Regions from separate parts of the Mus musculus genome. Here region 1 is reported to be linked to region 2. The links are microRNA targets in miRTarBase. Many come from high-throughput screens and were not tested one by one. Region 2 holds a microRNA gene; the other region holds the end of a gene's coding sequence.
Evidence for each region. Region 2 holds the annotated microRNA mmu-miR-200a-3p (UAACACUGUCUGGUAACGAUGU, at 3,978-3,999, shown strand). A microRNA usually pairs through its seed, bases 2 to 8, with sites in the 3' UTR of a target mRNA and lowers its output. Matches are read on the target gene's strand: a 7mer-m8 pairs with bases 2 to 8, a 7mer-A1 pairs with bases 2 to 7 and ends in A, and an 8mer does both.

Region 1 (10,763 bases), not on the chromosome of region 2:
TCAGGGCAGGATAGTCTAGGGCCAGGAGAGCCTTCATTCGTCGCTCAGGGAAAGGCGCGTGCAACCTCTGAGTGTCCCGGTAACGTGTGCCTTTGTTCCCCACCCAGGTGAAAATCTGGTTTCAGAACAAAAGATCCAAGATCAAGAAGATCATGAAAAACGGGGAGATGCCCCCGGAGCACAGTCCCAGCTCCAGCGACCCTATGGCGTGTAACTCGCCACAGTCACCAGCGGTGTGGGAGCCCCAGGGCTCATCCCGCTCTCTCAGCCACCACCCTCATGCCCACCCTCCGACCTCCAACCAGTCCCCCGCGTCCAGCTACCTGGAGAACTCGGCTTCCTGGTACCCAAGCGCAGCCAGCTCAATCAATTCCCACCTGCCACCGCCGGGCTCCTTGCAGCACCCGCTGGCACTGGCCTCCGGGACGCTTTATTAGATGGGCTACTTTCTCTTGCTCAGTTTTGGGACTACAGTGTTGTGCTGGTTTAGAAATCAGAAAGAAAGGAATTCATACGGGGATGTTTGAACAATGGAAACAAAAAAGATTCATGTGTAAACTTTTTTTTTGCATGTAAGTTATTGCATTTCAGAGAGCCCCGCCCCCTTTTTTACGAAAAGAACCCTTTTTTTTTTTTTTTTTGCGCAACTGTGGACACTATCAATGGTGCCTTGAAATCTATGACCTCAACTTTTCAAAAGACTTTTTTCAATGTTATTTTAACCGTGTAAATAAGTGTAGATAGAGGAATTAAACTGTATATTCTGGATAAATAAAATTATTTCGACCATGGAAACTGCTCCTTTTTGGCCCCCTGATAACTGGCTAGTGAGGTTATATGCAGACGGTTAAGAACAGATGAATTCTCCAGAAATCCAACAATGCAAAACAGAAGTCAGGAGCTGTCTGGTTGCAGAAATGTGTTTGTGTTGGATGCTCTATTTCATGTATCTGTCTGCACATATGGCCTGTTTATAGTACTGTCGTGTTTAGGATGGTTTTTTCCCTCTAACCACAAAACCATTTAAATGATATTAAATATAGCTCCAAATGTTTTGGGTAGGAAGGAATATTGAAATTAACTACATTTCTCCTACCGTGTGTGAGGGAAAAAGCCAACAGAAATCCCTTGATAACCTGGTATTCTAAGCACAGAGTGATTCTGGTGGGGACCCCCTCCCCCATCTGCATGTGTATTGCAATTATGAGACAGGGGAAGAAAAGGAAATTTGTTATCATTCCTCATATATATATAGTTTTTTTTTCTCAAAAATATGAAATGTTTGGGGCATAGCAAGCAGTAGTTTAAGCCTTGGAGTCCTAATGTGGATGACTACAAATCTGGCCAGGTTCTTTCTGCCAAGAAAATACCATAGGGATTCAGAACAATAGTGAACCTGAAGTACTGGGCCAAACAAGAAATATGGGGGTGGGGAGAATTACTTTTCAAAAAGGTGGGGGGGGGGCTATATTGGTTTCATTTCTTGTGATAAGGTTCTTCATATAATTGTCTTTCACCGGCATCCGTACTTCATGCCTCTTTCAGGATCTCCTGTGCTGCTTTTACATAAAACAGGGGCCAGGCAAGTTCCAAGTCATCGGAAATGCGATGTTTGCTAGAATTCCTTTGTGAAGCCATCTTTAAGGAAGGAGGATGGGAGTTGCAGCAACCTGGCCTCTGATTTGTGCGTCCCTTACACTTCTGCATGTAGATATCTAGCCTATGCCCAGAGCTACAGCGTGGCTCCACGGCTGTGCCCCAAGGCCTGAATTATAGGCATCTTTGTGGCTGGCTGTCCTTTGGTCCATCTAAGTCTATTTCCAAAGAATATGTAATGTTAGAAATTACTAGATTTATGGGAAATATTCCAGAGCTAAGAAGTCGGCAGCAATAAATGTGACAAAAGCGCCCTCTTGGGAAGGGGGATTAGAGCATGAAAAACTGCATCTTCTCATCTCAGAATTTCAGAGAGAACCAGCAGTGAGAACGGAAAGGGCAAGCTGTGTGCCCTTGGGCCATTTACAGAGTCAGTTTCTGCCTCTCCAGTCTCTTCCCATTCCTCCGTTCCCATCAGCCTTCTATCTCCATTTGTTCTCCTTTCTCTTTTCTTGTTCTTTCTTTGCACAGGTGATACCAATCCCACCAGTTTGAAACTCAGTGGACTTGGGGATGGCCAACATATATTTCCAGGCAGCCTGGGCAGCCTGGAAACAGCCTGCCTAAACAGAAATTTATCCCCTGTCCTCACTCCACTCTATCTGTGGGGGGCAGTGGTGTTAGGGGAGGTCCTGGCCCCATTTTGTTTTCTGTAGTGTACAGGGAGTAGAATGGAGGAGATGAGGGTATCTATTTTCTGCTCTTTCTTTGCTTGCAAGATTTCAGCAGTTTCCATTAACCAAATGCCCACAGCTTTCTGAAGGCTTGGTCTTGATTTCCAGGACCTGGCTTTCTGGTGGTCACAGGCCTGTCCCCACCCAGGAGTGTATATTTGGGAAGGTTGGCAAGGGCGGAGGACATCCATCGCACCCCCCCCCCCAATATTTCTCGCCCACTGGTTTCCCAAGAGTGTCAAAACTGTGCTGGGAACAAGCTCTTTCCGTCTTGGCATTCGGAGAGGGTGGATGTCATCTCCCTGCTGCTGCGCTGGTAGGAAGGGGTGTGTGTAGTTTTCTACACTACCTCCGACCCTCAGATTCAGCCAAGCAAAGGCAAGGGCGGGTCCGGACTTTTCTCAGGAAAAAAGAGGGATGCTCTTTAATCACCATCCTTCACCCCAAACTGGGACATTGCTGGTTGTTAAGGACACCAAAGTTGGTTTGTTGCTACGCCAAAAGCCTGGAGCAGCAATGGCAGGGGTTGGGACCTGGTTTTAGGATTGCATCCCCTGTGTGAGCCTCACTAGTAGAGGTCTCTTGAATTGGGAGGGTTTTTTTTTTTTTTTTCAACTTGGATGGGGAGCGGTGAACAAAAAATATTCTGGCAAGTGAGCCGCAACGGGCTTTCCTGGCACTGCGGGGATTCTCCCTGGGGAATTTAACTCCCTGCAGTCCTGCGCCCAAGGATGTAAAAATAACAGATCCTCAGCAAAGTCTAAAAATATCTGTTTCTCTTGCCCTCCCTCTCACCTCTCCATTGTTTCTTCCTGTGTGTACCAAGCGCATGTCCTTCCATTTTGGCACTGACAGACCCCGCTAGCCCTGGACTTCAAGTAGAAGTCTCTTGCGCCTGCCCCTTCTGTTCCTCACTTGCCTAGTCCTCTGTCTAATGCCCCGAAGATGAATTAAGCCGACTTCAGAACTAATTTTCTTCACCGTAGACCTCCCCCCATCCACGCAATACTTTCGACCTCCATCTTGAGACCTCCCTGCAAAGACTCAGAGGCCCAAGGCATGTTGGCAGGGCTTGAGTGATTTCCTCGGTGCCCTGCCCGACTCCGGAGCCCTCCTGTTGAAGATCAGATAAATTGGCCTTTGTTTGAGACTTGGGTTGGGCTAGGCGGGTTTCTACCCTCATTCTCCCCCCTTTTTTTTCCTGGCGGCCACCTCCTTGTGGGACAAGAGGCGGCCTGGGGATCCGAGGGAAGCTGCATTCCTGTGGGTGCCAGGCGGCTCCAGTGCTGAGCCACAGAGCCTCACACACACACACACACACACACACACACACACACACACACACACACACACTGAAGAACCCGCAGACCTCGCTGCCCTTGATCTATCTCTATCTCTCTCTCTCTCTCTCTCTCTCTCTCTCTCTCTCTCTCTCTCTCTCTCGCCCCGCACCTACCCGGGAGTCAGTCCACTCCCCCTCGGATCCACCCTAGGGCTCTGCCTTGCATAGAAAAGCTTTGACCCACACAAAGGTGTACACGCATCCCCTCCCAGTGACACGGGCCAGATCAGTATCTCCCCGCCTAAGGACAACCCTTTCTCCCCCGCCCCTTATCCCACGACCCAAGGCGTGCCGGCTGGCCTCCGATGGCTCCTTTGATCGCACGGGACGCCCAGTGGCTCGCGGGCTCCTGACTGACCCACAGCAAGCCTGAGTTGGGCGTTACAGCACACAGCCACCTCCACAATTCAGTACCGAGCACTCTCTAGCTTGAATTGCCCTGGATGCCTGCTGGAAACTGCTCTGCACTCACCCTCTGCTTCTTGCTTCCTATTGTTCCCAAAGAGAGACCTTTAGGACTACTCAGTCACCCCATCCCAGCCCCTTCTCCGCCACCTCTTGGATCCAGTGCCTCCCACTGGCTGCTGGGATCTGGCCAACTTAGAGCTCTCCAGCTCTTGGAGAAGGCACGCCCTGAGGGCAGTAGCTCAGAGAGGTGGTTGGGAAGTGCGGCACCCGCGAGGATCAGCCTGCAGTCCCCACCTCCTCCACTCTCAAGCACCTTCCTCCCTCCCCCTCCCCCCCGCACCCCCGTCTGCTGGGTGCGGGTTTACACTGCCCAGCGCTTGGGGAGGGGGCTCCTTGACTTACTCTGGTCTCCGACTCCTGGCTCCCACCACCCTCTTGTTTCCAGGTTGCCCACAGACCTTGCACATTTTTGACCCAATCCCAGGCCGAGAGAAAACAGCCCAAATCTTGGTGGTGCGCATGGTATTAGTTAAACCTTTCCACGCAGCCTGTACCGGAGACTCGCATCCCTGGCGTTTTCTTTTGCTTCTGACAGGCTTTAGATTTTTAAGTGGTGCAAGGCAGAAAGGGTACAAGGTGTCTACTGCCAGAGGTATGAATGACTGAGGGATGGAGGAGCCTTTCCTTCGCGGTCAGCTAGGGCTGCCTACTGTAATGTAACAACCTGTTTTATACTTTTGAGTTCTAACTTTGAAGATACAAACCGAATTTAAGCGAGTCTCTCTTTAAAGGAAAGGCGAGTCCTGTTCTTAACAGCAATGAGATGTTTCTGCGCGTTGTTCGCTCGCTCGGACTTCTGATTTAAGTGGTTCTGAATTCATTTCTTTGCCAAAAGCACACGTATTATTGAGTCTGTTCCGCATCCTAAACCAAGGTTTATATGAAACCGTGAAATACCACACATTATGACCTTTCACCACAGGAAGGGAAAATGGCTTCATGACCTGATCCCCCCACCCTTCTCTCCTCCCTCCCAGTTTCAATAACAATTCTCTGTGGAATCCACCATACACAGTCTATTGCTTTTATTTTGTTTTGTTTTGGTTTTTTGTTGTTTTTGTTGTTGTTGTTGTTGTTGTTGTTGTTTTGGTGGGGTGGGTGTGAAGGATGGTAAACGGTTCAAAGCTATGATTTATCTTAAAGCATTTCTTTTCCTTGAAAGGCGTGAAAACAGAAACCGCCAGCGGACGCTTATTCTCACCTAGAACTATTTCAGCCACTTGCCATTTGCAAGAGGGGGGGAAGGGTGGGTGGAAGGGGGTGCGGGATATGGACTCAACTTTCATCTATAAACAGGGGTCACTAAACAGGGGACATTTCATTATTGCCCTTAAATTCACAGGAGCTAGGGAGCCTGCTTGCCACCCTGCAGGGTGGCCTTGGTTGGGCAGCTTGTGTGGGTCGGTAAGATGTCCTTGGGAGGAGGGGAAATCAACACAATTGGCTTTGAAACTGGAAAAGAGGCTGAAGAAATTCTCTGTGCTCAACAGGGAAACTGAAGTCCTGGGATACAAGGTTTAGGTATCTCTGACTGGGATGTACTCTAACTGGGATGTCGCTACCAGAACTAATCCAGAGGCTAGGCTAACTAATCCAGACTCTGCTAGGGCATGACTTATATTTCTGCAAGTAATAGAATCCTCAGAGAGTTTGACTCCAGGACCAGAAAGAGTCTCCCCATCTCTCTTGAGCTCTCTTTCCCTTTTCCATTCTGTCCTTTCCTGTTTGAACATGATCAGGAACCTTGCCCTGTTAGGCGAATTGTGACATAGAAGCAACCAGAATGGTTTATTGGGGGGGGGGTCACTAATAAAGTTAATGATGAAATTTAAAATATTAACCAAACCAACAGCTTCCCAGATGGCTATATTTAATTAACATTAATTAATACGTGTTCAGCTAATATCCTCTAGGACGCAGTAGAGCTTCTTTATTGTAAAAGAGAAGAGGGATAGAGGGAAGACACACTTTACAGCACCCAGGGCAGTTGGCTCTGATGACAAGAGCAATTGTAGATTCATATAAGAATATGTTTATAAACAAGTGACAGGCACATTCTGAGGTGGCTTTGGTGGAGAGAGTGGAGGGACTGACAAATATCCTTTGCTGTGGGGGAGGGGCTGTGGGGGAAGGGCACCTTTAAGAGTAGGAAAATGCTATGGTAGAGGGAAGAAAGACGGGAGTAGTTTTTAAAAGAAAAAAAAAAGAAAAAAAAAAACTATTTGAGCCTGCAGGCAGCAGCAGCAGCAGAGGCAGCAGCAGCAGCAGAGGCAGCAGCAGCAGCAGGGGCCCTGTGAATGCACCAGCTCTGCACGGTGGAAGACTTGGACACATAATACTTCAGACTGCTGATTTGCTATTTTCTTAATTCTGGCTCTTCTTTTTCCATATGAATCAAACAGTCTTTTGTCCTTCAGGGTTTGATTTGATCGCTACTGTTCACATTTCACTTTTGTACTTTCCCTCTTCCTATACCATTACTCATTGAGTGCCCTGTGAAATTACAATCGTACATTTTCAACTCAGCAACCCATTTGCAGTACAAAAAATAGGGTCTAAATAATGGCTGAATTAGCCCTACTGGACAGTTTCAGATGTAACACTCTGTAATAATTATATTGCAGGCTGGATTAGGATGCTATTATCATAATCTGGACGTTTACAATTATCTGTAATTTGCAAAGATGCGCCAGGTCTTGATTACAGCAGCTTTTTTTTTTTTTTTTTTTTTTTTTTTTTGTATCACGCTAACCATCACTAAACAGTGACAGTAATAACAGCTAATTTTGCTGGCAATATAAGAGGTGCTGGGGTGTGCAAACAATTTCACACCTGGATGTGCTCACTCAACCAAGAATATAGAGACAGAGCCTCTGCCCTGAGACTCAGAGAAACGCTCTCCTGTGCCTCCCTCCGCTCAGTATAGATTTCTAGACCCTGATCATTGCTTAAGAGATATTCACCGGGGTAAGTTTTTATTTTTGGCATACTTCTAACTTCTAAGTACTGTTTTTATTTCTCCTCTCAGACTCTCCAAGCTATATACAATATGTTGTTGTGATTTACTTGAATTGCAACTTTGGTTTCAAGGTTTGGGCTCTGACCTTTTATTTTCCTTTAACAGTAAGAGTTGATCTGGTGAGAATGGGATCCCTAAGAACCTGACTTGCCTGTCTTGCTTCCGTGCGACTGATGTGTTTGGTGTAGTCTGTGACTTGAGACGAAGAAAGGACCAGGTTTCTGCGAGTTGTAGAAGGAGCCCGAGAGTCCAAGCTAAAAATCTATCTGAAAATTGTTACTTACAATTGATCTTAAGTAAATACATTGAGGTTTTTATATGCGGCCATGATTTTAGGTTTTGAGGCATCAGAGATCAAACAGAGCTGGCTGTGTGGCTTGCTTCTTTGCAGTCAGCTATGGGGATGGATGTTAGCAAAAGCAGGTGTGCCTGAATCTCTGGGCTTTGCAGCCCTTTGGGCATCTTCTCTCCAGCTGGGGGAAAGTTTGTAGAATAAATGGCATCTGAAACCCTTCAAGGCTGTTCCGTAGGGCCTTGCATAGAGCTGTAGTCTCTGTCTCTCTGTATCTCCCTGTCCGTGTGTGTGTGTGTGTGTGTGTGTGTGTGTGTGTGTGTGTGAGAGAGAGAGAGAGAGAGAGAGAGAGAGAGAGAGAGAGAGAGAGAGCGAGAGCGCAGAGGGGAGTGGGGAGTGGGGGAGGGGAAGGTATCCAGACCGTGGAGCTTATTGCCTGCTGAGCCCAAATTCTGTGATCCTGGGCTTAGAGGGGGATGATTGGTTGGGACACAGAATCGACAACTTATGAAGCCAAGGAACCAGTGTAGTCTATGTACCGAGGAAGATATTGGCAACAAGCTGTGCTGTTCCGTCTCTAGATGACGCTGTTCCCTGACCCTGTAAATGTTATAAGTAGCTAGAGTGCTTAGTATAGGATCCCACAATGTCTTTGACTGCCCACCCTGCCGAGAGAAGCTTTTCTACCATGGCAAGAACCTTTGCACTAAATTGTGTCCAAAGATAATGTGGTGTTTATTTGTTAGAGAGGAGGAGAAGTTGTCTCTCTCTTATATTCCTACCCAATAGCTATGCTCCTCACCCCAGCCCTTTAGTATAGTCAGAACAGGGCTTGGGAACTCAAACTCTACAGTCTAGTAGGGAGTTTGAACATGGGGAGGCGCAATAGACACCTCAACTGGCAACACCTTTCACCCATGCTCCTCCTACCAATCCCTCCCTCGGGGAACGAGTTTCCTTGGGGGTCAATACATTTTAAAGGAGAAAAAACTATTAACCCTTGGAGTTCAGGGAATCCAGTGGGAGCCCAGTTCTAAGCAGAGTTCTAGGGGACTATCTGACAGCATCTCTGTAACTAAGCTCATGTTCAATAGGAGATAAAGATGGATGCAGAGGCATCAGCCCCACCTCCAACCTAGTAATAAACATTTTCTGGTTTCAGAATTCTATACACTCACAGTGGTTTGGCATATATTTGGTGAAATTTTTTAAGGAAAAATTAGTGTTGGTTTCGATATATGGTAGCTTTTTCTCTAACATAATTTGAATAATTCAGCAAAGCCCTACTACCAGCTGTACTTCTGCAGCCTCTTCCATTCTTTCCAGCATTATAATTTTGGTTAATTTTCAATTTTAGGTCCTACGTCTCTGCAATTTGTGTATGAATAACAGAATAATTTCCCTCTTTTGTTTCGCCTTTCCTGTTCCTGAATCTAAATAAAGATGGCTTTTTAGTATTAAAAGTGGAAGAAAATTACAGGTAATTATCTTTGACGGTAAAAACGCTGTAATCAGCGGGCTACATGAAAAATTACTCTAATTATGGCTGCATTTAAGAGAATGGAAAAAAACCTTCTTGTGGATAAAAACCTTAAATTGTCCCCAATGTCTGCTTCAAATTGGATGGCACTGCAGCTGGAGGCTTTGTTCAGAATTGATCCTGGGGAGCTACGAACCCAAAGTTTCACAGTAGGAAGGGGGAAAAAAGAAAAGAAAACATTTTTCCTAATGTAACAATGCGAATGCTAGAAAATGACAAGACTGATCGGTTTTAAACCATTCTGAAGACTGACTGAGCGTGGAAGTTGCTCAACAAAAAAGGGAACGGGGATATTGGTAAGTAGTCTTTGCTTTGTGTCTAATTATAGTGACTGTCCTTTTGCACGACTGTATGTCGCTGTCATTATATGGAGCACTCTGAGTATCTCTATTGACTTCTGATAAATGGCTCAGTGGTTTCAAGGTTCATAATTTGAAGGATGCCCAGGTCTGTAGCCATTAATTCTCACAGTATGGGGCTTCCTGCTTGTATGACGAAAGGACTTTTCATTTTCATTATTTCTTTGCTTTCCACGAGATCGGAAGGATGTGTTTCTTGCAGGATAGAACATTTTCCTACCTTGCTAGCTTGCAACGGGTTTTTAACATTAAGTGGTCAAAATTGTGCACTTTGCTTTCTGGGTTTGTTATTCTTTTCTCTTTTTACTTTTTTTTAAAAAAATGCTTCCAAAGGCAAATATAGCTGTACTATTTTATCTAGGGAAAGGGGAAGGAGAATATTCAGATACAGTATGGAATTGTCTGGATGTCTAAAAGTTAAGCTGTGTCTAGGTTATTCTAATGTTTAAAAATACAAAAGTGTGTGTGAATCACAACAAAATTAAAATGAAAGCCTGAGAACACCCATGGCTCATGTTAAAGTACCTGAGACAAAGACTTGTGGTAGAAACTGACATCTTTTCAGGCACTGAATACGTATGTATAGAGCACACCATATTAGGAAACAAAAATTATTTTAAGAGAGATAGAAAATATAGTGGAAAGGGAGGAAGGATAGACAGACAGAGACCTGGAGCAGTAGAGGACACTCCCAACATTTTGTGGCTTTTACTCCATATATGAAAGAAGACAAAAACATACAAAGTATATATACAACTAAAATTCAACAATATATACAGAAATGTTCCTTGATATAAACGTCCCTATTAGCTTAGTGAATGCCACTATTCACCTAAGAAAGGTGTCAAAGCAATAGAATGGTGATTTTGGTTGTTTTCCTTGGTCTTTCTTCTTTCCAGTTCAGAGTTTGGAGGTGGGTTATGCAAAGAGCATCTTTCTTGTTGCTGTTACTGTTTGTATTAGCTGAGTTGTCATTCCTGATCATTGCATTTTGAAAAGACATGCAGTGTTTCCTTTGTGGCAATGTTCTACTTTTTACAACCAAATTTTCTTCTTTCTTGAAGAGATATTGGGGGGGGGGTTCTTCCATTTCTTTTCTTCTTCTTCTTCTTCTTCTTCTTCTTCTTCTTCTTCTTCTTCTTCTTCTTCTTCTTCTTCTCCTCCTCCTCCTCCTCCTCCTCCTCTTCCTCCTCCTCCTCCTCCTCCTCCTCCTCCTCCTCCTCCTCCTCCTCCTCCTCTCAGTCTCAGATTGGTAAATAAAAATCCAGGAGTCCAAAATCTTTGTTTTTTATCATGTAATGTCTTAAACTCATTAAACAAGTAAAAATGCTGCCATGTTTGTGCAGATTCTTCTGCCGGTGGAGAATGTCTGTAAAAAAAAAAAAAAAAAAAGTCATTTGGATAGAGAGTACT
Region 2 (11,135 bases):
AGCCATGACCCAGAGGACCTGTGGTTGGAGGCTGCCTGAGCCCTTTAGGTTGGTGACAATGGTGAAATCAGAATTGGTCAGTCTTGCACGCTGGCTTTTTCTCACTGTTCATTTCTGAGGTGTTAACAAAGCCAGGACCACACTGGGGAAGACAGGACAGGTTCCTCAAGCCATTACTCCAGATCAGGTCCATTTAAAAGATTTTTTTTTTCTCCCTTACATGCTAAATAGCACAGCAGCCATGAATAGCCAGCTATATAAATGTCTGGTTGGAGGAACATCTAGACTGTGCTATGGCGTCTAGGCATGCCCAGCCCTGAGTTTGTATCCAGATGGCCAAACTCTCTGAGTTTAAACTTAGGAGCTGATAATGTTGAAGAAAAAGTTGCCTAGTTTTCTTTAGGCATAATATAGAGTATGTTGTTTCATTGTTCTTGAACAAAATCCATAGGATGGAAGAGTGCAGTGTTTTGATTAATATATGTGGTGACTACTTTAAGCCCTTTCTAGCTGAGCATCCGGAAAAGTAGTTCAACTTTGTTTTGTTTTTCTGGTAACCTAGATAAAAATGTTGGAGCAATCGGTAGATTGTTGAATCAAGCAAAATGTTTTGCATTTATGAAAATGCAAATGAGCCATAAAATATGGATATAGTCCATTGTTAATTTTCAGGCATCTTGGTAATTTGCAAATACTTTATTTGCAAAATCAATTTGCCAGGATGTTCTTAGTGTGTAAAATGGCCTAAGGAAGTTCCCCGGTCGCAGGAGGCTGGCACTCAGGGGTGCAGTGGACCTGGAGGGTGAGCTATACAACCGAAGGGCTAAGGGACAATGCTGACGGCTGTGTGGATGAAATGGCGGCTTTGCCTTGAAGACACGCAGTTCCAACAGCCACTAAGAGGTAGCCTGAGTGTAGACAAGACAAGTCTTTCCTGCCCCCACCCTCCCCCTCCCACAGCCGCTGGCATCGAAGTTAGGAGAGGTTGACTTTCAGAGCTTTGTTCTCTGGCCTCAGCATTGATTAAGGCCCCTTGAGCAAGTTAACCAGCAACTTCCCACACTGGGAACGCGTTCCTCTGCCACAAATTCCCAACCTTCCCTGGCCTCGCAGGCGAGGATCAAGGCACTCTGGAAAGGGGGAGGGTGCTTGCTGCAGAGGAGCCTTGGGGGCACTTGGCTTCTGGATCCATTCCTTAATTTTCCTAAACTAAGCCTAGTAGATGCTGATAATTAGCTGTGGGGACCATGACCTGAACCTCACTTTCAGATACAACTGACCAGATGGGCACCACACAGGCTCCAAATAGAACCCCTGTTTTTGCTTTTCATTTCTTGACCTATGGCTGTAATTCTGTCATGTTTTTGTCTCTCCCTTCCCCCTATGCTGGATAAAGCAGGGTCCCCCATACTCAACAGTGCTTGGACACCAAGACACCCAGTCCCAACTCATGACTTTTAGAATCTGTTCAGCCTTTAAATTTTGCTGGAGGACCTACAGAATCTGCATTTTGAAGGTTGTACACACACACACACACACACACTGCTGTCTGAGCACCTGCCCCCATATATCTGACCTTTTGGCTTATGCCCGGGCCAGCTATGCACTTGGCAGAGTCCCCTAGCCTCCCATGTTCCCTAAGAAGTGCTCACCCTGAGTAGTCAAGGATGCAGGGATCAGGCTCATCATTAGATACCATTTCGTCTTCCCTGTTTCTTTGGCACAACCAGAAGGGGGAAAGGCAACATCCTTGGTGCTTACCCTCACCCAGCTCCCACACTCTTTGTGGCTCTGAAGCCACAAGGATAACTGAAATTCTGCTTAGTCCACTTAGTTCTCAAATAGAATCCTTAGTTTGCCAAAGCTCAGAGAGAGAGAGAGAGAGAGAGAGAGAGAGAGAGAGAGAGAAAGTCCTTTTGAAGCACCGGTTTTATGAATCTGATAGGATAGAACTAAAAAAGTTCGGGAAAGGGGAAGTATATCTGACGGGTGTTTGAGAGCACTGGGAACCTTGTAGGCGATAGACGAAGAGTTAGGACAGTTTCTAAAACCTTAGGCTCCTATAGAGTGTCCATTCCCATCTGCTCAGCCTGTGCTCAGGTCAGGTCCTCAGAAATGTTGGCTTTCAGGAGAGAGGCTGGAGAACTAGCGGCTGCCTGGAGGCAGTGACACACGCCTTCGTTGTGATCCGAGGAAATCAGTACAGGGCTTGAGCCACCTGTATTGTGTCTGTGATAGAAAAGACCAGAAAAACGAGAAGAAATACTTCTGTAAAGACGGACTTGGGATGAGGAGAGGCACAGATTGAGTCTCTTTCAGTCCCAAGTATCCTTGGGACAGGTGCTTAGTTTCTTGGCTCTGTATGGGAGACTACAGGCTATGTCCTTAGCAACAAAAAGATCTTTCTATGGGTATGTGATTATTGTATTCATACTGGGGGCTGCTTTTCCCATACGCTTGAAGTGTTGGATCCCTGGTCCCTCATCCCAGTATCCTTCTTGGGCCCTGAAAAAGGCAAGAGGGGCTGGGCAGGAAAGTAGACTTGAACAGTATCCTGGAGACAGAGGCCCACTGAGTGAACCTCATCAACCTTAAGTACACTGTGTACCCTAATGGGACTGGACCTGTTGTCTAGGCTATTCTGTAGTGAATATACTCAGATGGAGGGCCTGTCTATGACCTGATCCTGACCTGGCCATTGGTCACATGGAAGTCTACATAGCCTGCCTCCCAGCTCTTTCGGGCTGTCAGCCTCTGGGAAGGACTATTTGACCCTTCAAAGTCCTCACCTGGGCCCCAAGCTAGTCCACTGCAGGTCAGGTTTGGCTGGGCAGGGGAACTTGTCTATGGCCATGGGTGCTAAGTCCTTCCTCTGGGCCTTATAGAGAGGCAAGAAAGAGGCTTCAGGGCCTATAAGACCCCCATCCTAATTATTTTCCATCTAATTTCCAAAAGAGAACTTGATCTTACTTCAAGCTGTTGACCTCTCCACTACCTATCTTTGGAGATGAGAATGCAGGGCTTTCTGCTGTTGTCCTGAAGGGGTGCCCTCCTTCTGCAATGCTCTGGGGATTAGGACACTTAGGCATCTGGGCCCTGCCCATGGAATCTAGTCATCTTCAACTCCCTGCTAGGCGGCCTCCATATCCAACTTGGGCAGCCGTGGCCATCTTACTGGGCAGCATTGGATAGTGTCTGATCTCTAATACTGCCTGGTAATGATGACGGCGGAGCCCTGCATGCAGCAATGGAGCCGCCTCCTGATCCCAGCCTCCAGGGGCCCCAGTTCCACACCTCACCTACCTTATCCAAGGTAGGGCTATGGGGCAAAGAGTTAGCCTTGGCGATATGGGTGGTGGGAGGCTTTAGGGAGAGTTCCCCCAAACCAGGCACCTCTGAGGGCCACTCTATATCCTGGGGTGAGAGGCTCCTCCCATTGCCCTGGGGGCGCCCCCTCCCAATGCCCTGGGAATTAGGACAGTCAAGTGCCTGGGTTCTGCATACAATACCCAGGCAGGTGCTGCCACCACACCTGGCAGGTGTACGCTGGGTGGAAGTGCAGCAAAGGCTCTAAAGGGCTAAGTCTCCGCCTAGGCTCAGAGGGCCTCATGCCAAAAACTGCCTCACCTACATCTAGGAGCTGTGTACTGATTGACCCCCTAGTGGGGCTACTCAAGCCTGGGATACCTTACCTTCCTGCATCAAGTGAGCACCGACCTATTGACCAACAGCACCTCCAACATGCACACTGAGCCAATGTGTCACTGTCCCCTTGCTTTGGACAAAGCAGACCGTATGAGTTAGGGTCAACATCTCTGCTGGCTTATTGCGATGCATATACGGTCTCTGGCTGTTCATGGCATCAGGTTTCCACTGGGCCTCCCTGAGGGTGGAAACCACCTGTGTCTTCCTGCCAGAGCATACCTGGGCCTCTGTGGGCATCTTACCGGACAGTGCTGGATTTCTTGGCTTGACTCTAACACTGTCTGGTAACGATGTTCAAAGGTGACCCACCATTCGCCGAAGACAGGCTGATGATACACACTTGTCCTCCTGGACTCCAGTTAGGCCGAGGCTGGGTGCTGGGTGCAGAGGGCCTGTCTCAGCTCTACAGATCAGCAGTCAGTGGGGGCTGGACTTTGACCCTTGTCTATTACTTCATGCTGGGACAAGGGATGGTTTCACCATGCCAGGGGTACTGGAGTAGAAGTGGATTGTCACTCATTCTCAGAGCAGCGATGCCCACCTTTGCCAACTCCTCTGCTGGATTTGGGGGTTCATTGATTCCTAGAGAGACTGTGAGGGTTAGTGAGGATGCTGAGCTAGGTAAGGAGACATGGATAGCAGTGTTAGCATAAGGACTGTCAGTGCCTATGGGACCAATGGGCAAGGGTGGGTTCGGGGACCTGAGCCTGGTACACAGAATTGTGACGTCATCAGCTGTTTCCTAATTAAGAACAAGGAATCTCTATTCCTTCCCAATGGCTTTCCAGAATAGGAACTTTGCCCCAAACCAGAATCCAGGATTACTTCTTATCTTTCTTTACTTGGAGCCAGAGTACAGGGTCAGGGAGCCCCACCCAGTATCAGCCTAGATGACTCTTCCGGGGGAAGGAGTCTGTTCCTGGCTTTAATGTTACTCATTAAGCTGACAGCCATTCAGAAAACCAAAGAGGTGCTATGACGAGCATTTGCCAAGTAAGAGTGAGCAGATGACTCTCCTGTTGCACCCACAGACTTCCACACTTGAGGAACAGGCAACCAAGCTGGGCCCTGGTAAGAAAGTCCTTAGAGTAGTCCCAGGTCCTAGAAGGGTGAACCCCAAGAATGGCCCTTGGACCAGAGCAGGCAGGAAGCCAACCCTGGCCTTCCCTCTACAGGTATCAAATCCAACTGCCCAGATGGGGAGGCCCTTGTACTGCCCTGCTGATGGATGTCTTACCAGACATGGTTAGATCTGGATGCATCTGTCTAATACTGTCTGGTAATGCCGTCCATCCACGGCCTTATCACCGCTGGAGACGACATCCTCACCACCTCGTGGACACTGGGTAGAGACAAGACCTTAATCCATCTGTTACAACTGTCCAGAGCTGGGTTCATCAAGCCCTCTATGCAAACAGACCACAGTTTAAATATACAGGCCCCGCTGAGCCTGACTGCCTTCCTCTGACCCTGTAGTAGCTTTCGGTTACAGCCACAGCAGACTGAGGCCTCCGTATCCATCCTTTTCAGGAATAGTCAGTGGGGCGGTCACAGTCCTCTTGCCCTCCATAGCCCACTGGGCTCCACACAGAGACTTCGATCTGTCGTCAGCTGTCACCTGCAGATTCTGTAGCCCCTGTGCTATCAACACTGGTAGGAGACAAGAGGAGATCTAAAACCTTGGTCCTTTGTCTCCTCTCCAAAATTCTCAGGTCATGGAACCAAGGAGAGTAAAAGCAAGTCTAACCACTGTGCCCAAACCCGGAGTGGAAAATAAGTATATGGGTTTCAGGGACAGGGGCACTGCCAAGGTGCCAGACCAGGTGATAGTGACTCATACCCAGGAATATGCACAAGGCTGCACAGCTCTGCCGTTGTCAGCCTGCTTATGAGCTCTTCCTATGCATCCCACCTCTGGCTCTTAGGATCTGAGAGTCATCTTTCAGTCTAACTCTGGATGCTGAATGGCCCGATCTTAAAGATCCCACCCCCACCCCATGTCCCTGAGAATTTTCAAAAGGCTGTTGCTAAAACGGTTGCTCTAGAATGACTCCCAATGCTTACATCATTTGCTATATGGGGAGTTTGAGTGTTGCTGTGATAAGAACTAGAAGTGAACCTCTTAGACCTCATCTGCAAGCTGCTGGCTTCAGTACCTAGACTTCTGCAAACCTCAAGTTGGCCAATACAGCCTGAGTCCAGCAGAGCCAAACCCTACCTCATCCACTGCCCTCTTGAAGGAACCCAACATGCCCTAACAGATTTCTTAGCCCTGGACAGGCCATTCCTCTAAAGAACCATTATAGGGACACTGGACTTCATCTTCCACAGAAACCTGCTGGGCTCCAAGTTCTATGTGGCTGAGGGACTTGTCCGCCCATCGTGCGCTCTATAATAGGTGGTCCCCTTTTTGTCATCTCTTCAAGCATTGTAAATAAAATGCAGGCAAAAAAAATCTTTGTAAGGCAATAAATTGTGTGATTTCTGAAATTTTATGTTGATCATCTCATTTTCACCGTACAAAACATTAACAAGCAGCCTTGCAAAGGATCAAGCCGAGGACACGGGGACTCCAGTGATCGGTGCTCCCGCCAGATAGAAGAGAGACATGGGGCTCATTGTACCCAGCCAGTCATTACACAAACCAGCTCTGGTATGCAATATGTACTCTAGAACCTACCAAGGACAGGTGAATCAGGAAAATGGGGGCTCCTGTCTCAGCCAAGAGTCAGCCTTGGAGTGAGAATTGGGTGTCTTGTGCAGGAACCAAGCCCAGGGTGTTATGAATGTGAAAGCAATCACTCCACCCCTGAGCTACAATCCCCAGCTCCTGGAGTGTGCATTGAAAATGTCATAGCCAGGATCAGAGACAGCTGGCTGCTGGTCCAAAGCCTCTCCAGGGTTGGGTGAGCTACCTGTCCAGCCTGGAGGCTTTCAGCCCCAATAACTCAGCCCAGGGTTTAGTAGAAGTGCTATGTGCCCCAGCCCACCTGCAGTCCCACTGTACTATTAGTCTAGAGCAGAGAGGTCTCTTGATCCAGCACTGGACTGACCACAGAGACCCCGACTCCCAGCACAGCATAAGAAGGGCAGATCTCACAAGTAGAGAATGACAACCTATGGGGCACTCCTATCGCCATAGGACTCTGGGCACAGCTGAGAAATGGTGCTCCTTCAGACCTGCCAAGCACAAGCTCCCACACTGGCAGCTTAGACTAGGGAAGGCCACGTGAGTGACTTGTCATGCCCAGCCTCTAAGGGGATGCTAGAGCCCCTTAACATGAGCAGAACCACAAAAGAACCTGAAGGTGAGGAGATTTACAGGGTAGCCAAAGACAACAGTTGTCTTCCAGAATTTCCAAGATATGCCCCTAGAACCTCAAGAAGGCCCTAGAGGGAGTCTTCAAGTGTCTTCCTCGTCTTAGTTCACAGGTCCTGTGGCTTACAGTCACATACCCTTATCTCTGCTTCCCTCTAAAGAGGTCACCAGTCACTGGGTTTAGAGTACGGCTGGTTGACACAAGATGACTGCACCCAAAATTCTAACTCAGTGACATCTGTACAGATTTCTATTTTTAGAAAGGCACGGTCATGGACTCCAGGATATGGTCCTGGTTTTTGGAAGCACCATGTAGCCCCTGTCAAGTTATTGTGATCCTTGCAAGGCTCTGAAAGATGACAGGAATGTGGATCCATATGGCTGAAAACTTGGGGTCAAAAGCAGGAGTCACACCAGATCCCAAGGACCCCAGCAGGAAACTACAAATTGGCCTCAAAGCCACTTTGAGCCATGCTTGGTGTTAGATCCTAGTTCTTTAGGTATGGATTAAGGAGTCCCTGTGAATACTCAAAATCATCTAGGAAGAATTCATGGGGGGAAGGGGACCTGGAGAGATGGCTCAGTGGTTTAGAGCACTGACTGCTCTTCCAGAGGTCCTGAGTTCAATTCCCAGCAACTACATGGCGGCTCAAAACCATCTGTAACAGGATTTGATATCCTCATCTGGTGTGTCTGAAGATAGCTACAGTACACTCACATATATAAGATAAATCTTTTAAAAATTTCATATACATACACACACACACACACACACACACACACACACACACACATATATATATATATATATATATATATATATATATAGTTCATGGGAGGATGGAAGATGTGGGGCTATGCCCCAGATTCAGATGGCGTTGTGAACTCAGGAACAGCTTCCCCCCAGCCTCCTCAGATCAATTTGACCCATTCTCCACTTCTTGCTTTGCCCAACTTCTGTAAGGCTGCCCTTCAACTCAATGGTCCCTTTCACCATCCACCTAAAACTCTTGTTTACCTTTGGGCAGCTGCTGAATCATAGTTCCCTAGTAACAGTTGCCTGGAGACAGTTGCCAGGTCACCACTGTTGTATCCCAGCAGAGGGTTCCTAAGACCTTGAGAGCAGGTAAGAGAGACTAGGTGGTTACAAGCTGAGGGTCCTGACTAGGACTGAGGCTGAGTCCTTGCCCTCCTGTGCCTCATTTTTGACTCTTTCCGGAAGTAGATAAACAGGAGAGAGGACTGGGCAGCTTGGCTGAGTTCAGCCCTCTGCCAAGGCCACACTCTCCAAACCCAAGTGTCTCAGCCAACAAAGGCGTGTCTTGTGGGGCGGGACTGGTCCATGTGGGCAACTCAAGTTCTGGGGAGGGCTGGGACCCCTTAGAAGGAGCTCTTTGCCTAGAGCCGTGTCTGTCTCCCCCAGAACTGACCCCTCAGAAGGGCCACCTCCTGAGATCCACAGAGAACGCATCCCCAGACAGTGAGCGCAGCTTGGGAGGCACCGGCCCTTCAAAAAATGTCAGCACCTTCTCAGAGCCCTGTGTTGCCAAACGTGTGTGTGTCTAGAGAAAACTTCAGCAGAGCACTGACATGGTCATTTTCTTGGCCATCTTCTTCAGGTTTAAACGCATCTCCTGCCCATTGTACCGGGGTGTGATTTCCTGCCGGTCTTTTTATCTGATCAGGTAAACATGTTTATTTTAAATTTATTATAAAGACTTCAGGCTTCAGTCTGGCTCCTCACCTTGAGCTTTCCCTTAACTTTTATGTAATATCACAAGATTCATGACCACACCATTTGCTTCAGTATTAGACAGCTTGCTTCCTGAAACTGTAACTGAAACTTTTAGTGTAAAACTTCCTTTCTGGATCTTGGGTCTCCTCCTCAGAGACGCCCTGAAACGCGCTTCCTAGATAAGGGCAGTAGCTGGTAGCTTCCCAGTTTAGATGCTGTACCCCAGTCCTTCCTCTCTTGGGTACATAGATCCCTACTCACTCATTAGGTTTTCTATGAAGTTTTTGTTATTTTTGTGGGTTTTCCTTGGTTTTGTTTTTTTAATTTTTGAGGGAAGGTTTCATGTAGTGTAGCTCAGGCTGGTCACCAACTTATATAGTCAGACTACCTTGAATTTCTGATCCTCCTCAAGTAATGGGATTCTAAGTGTGCAATGCCATTCCTGGTGCAGGGGACCAGATCCGGGGCTGATCTTATATATGCTATGCAGCACTGTATCAGCTGAGCTATATCTTGAGCCTTGCTATTTTTTTTTTGTTGTTGTTGTTGTTTCACAGGGTCTCTCTATGTAGCCTAGGCTAGCCTCAAGCTTTTGGCAATTTCCTGTTTTCTGCCTCCCAGGTGCTGGGATTACAAGCTTGTGTTACCACACCTAGCTTAGCTTTAGTAAATATAGATGACAAGAAATAATAATTCATAGCTGAATTCAATGTTAAAATAACAAGAATACGAAGCTAAGAAAGTGACTGCAGAATCGCACACCCACACCTACACTCCTGCCCAGTTCTAAAGCTCCTATCTCAGCCTTTTCCTGGGAGCTTTCCTTTTCTCGGTTGGGAAGGGATCTCCAGGCACTCCTGGATTCTTCCATCTTTGCAGCCTGTCCTCTAGAGTGGCATGAGTTTCTCATTCCAGGATTTCTCTCCACCCTACAGAACTTTTTGGATTTTTTTTTTCTTCTCCTGTTGATTCAGTAGGGGTAGAATTGATAGACATGATGCCCATATTTGGCCTTTCTTTGCTGTCAGTCAGTCAATCCACAGACCTGTCTTCCTCCTTAAGGCTGACCTGCTCCTATCCAAAGGCCTTGTCTTACCCTTCCCAGTCACAGAGTTCTCTGTACCGTCTCATCATTCACCCAACACACTGGGTTTATTCACTTGATGTGATGGGAGGCACAAACTTTTGTCTAGGAATTAATTTAAAATGCCCTAAAATGTTCCAAAGACGGCAAATAGGGAAAAGGGACAACATCTGGGGCAGGGGTGCTGGGAGAAGAGGAGTTGATGGTAGCTATAGACAGGTTGTGTTAGTAGGACCTGGGCTGAGCACTTGGGTAGCCATAAACCGATAGGACCTTTGTTTGGGGCTTGGAGCTTCTTTGACCTTCAAGTCTGCAGATGTGCACTCTACCAGCAACAAGACTGATAGGCAACCTCTTTGCAGCAGACACAGAGGCCACACTCGTCGAGGCCAGAACAGTCTTGGCCGAAGAAAACTCACTAGGCAGAGACGGGATGCAAAGATGGCCCTACACCCACAGGCCGGAAGGCCTCACAGAGATGGAAGTGAGGCACAAGCTGAAGCCACAGCCCAGGACTTGGGGAGGCTTCCTTCCCCAAGCAAAGTGGGTGCAGCTGTCTGTCCCATTCAAGGGCTGGGACATCGGGCTGCTCGAAGACCCCGAAGGGGTATAGGGACTACATCTGCCTCAAGGGTTCCTCGCCCTGGTGCCCTTATGCCTGCAACACGAAACCGTCCAAGATTCATCCACTGCCGGGGTCAGCCCCCTCGAACCCGTGTCAGCTCCAAGAGATCCAAACGGTCCAGAATCCATCCGTGCCACACTGAGGTGCCAGGTGAATGCAGAGGGGCCCTGGGACTGGTTACACATGCCCTCAAGTCAGGGCCTCCAGGGAGAGGGAAGAGGTGAGGCTCACACTAGACCATGCCCAGCCAGCCAACCAAGCAGTCCCTGAAAGAAGCTAACAAAGGTCCACATACTAGGGACACTATGCTCAAGAATCTGCAAGCTTTACCTGTCCGTACCATCACAGCGGGCCCTCACTACCCCAACCCCATTTCGTGCAAGTTTCTCATCTCTCCTGGTTGACCATAGAGACTTGAGTCACCCATGATGTCATCATAGACATTGTGACCCCTGCCCTCTGGAGACATCCCCAAATCATGTTTGTATGGACTCCCGTCTCACACTCTAGCCCACTCCCTGCATGGAGCCTTTCCTACTGGTAAGGAGGGTGGAGACGGGGCCACCCTCTTAACTCCCAATGTAATCTCCACACTACATGGACTCTGCCTGAGTCCATGGCTGGTAATGTCTCCTTTCTTGGGTGTAATGACCCTCAGGCCTCCTAG

Region 1: the mRNA of Dlx5 is a reported target of mmu-miR-200a-3p. Seed matches in the 3' UTR shown: 7mer-m8 at 472-478.

Annotation. Positions count from the first base shown.
Region 1 is chr6:6,867,833-6,878,595 of GRCm38, reverse strand. Dlx5 (distal-less homeobox 5) reads left to right here. Exons shown (of 3, transcript NM_010056.3): 3 at 108-795. The coding sequence ends at 437. Dlx6os1 (distal-less homeobox 6, opposite strand 1) reads left to right here and starts at 6,969. Exons shown (of 2, transcript NR_155496.1): 1 at 6,969-7,107. Dlx6 (distal-less homeobox 6) reads right to left here. Exons shown (of 4, transcript NM_010057.2): 4 at 10,626-10,719.
Region 2 is chr4:156,047,775-156,058,909 of GRCm38, reverse strand. It overlaps Mir200a (microRNA 200a), which reads left to right and starts at 3,925; the gene lies at 3,925-4,014. It overlaps Gm13648 (predicted gene 13648), which reads left to right. Exons shown (of 2, transcript NR_132444.1): 2 at 4,881-6,195. Mir429 (microRNA 429) reads left to right here and starts at 4,923; the gene lies at 4,923-5,005. It overlaps Mir200b (microRNA 200b), which reads left to right and starts at 3,160; the gene lies at 3,160-3,229. It also overlaps Ttll10.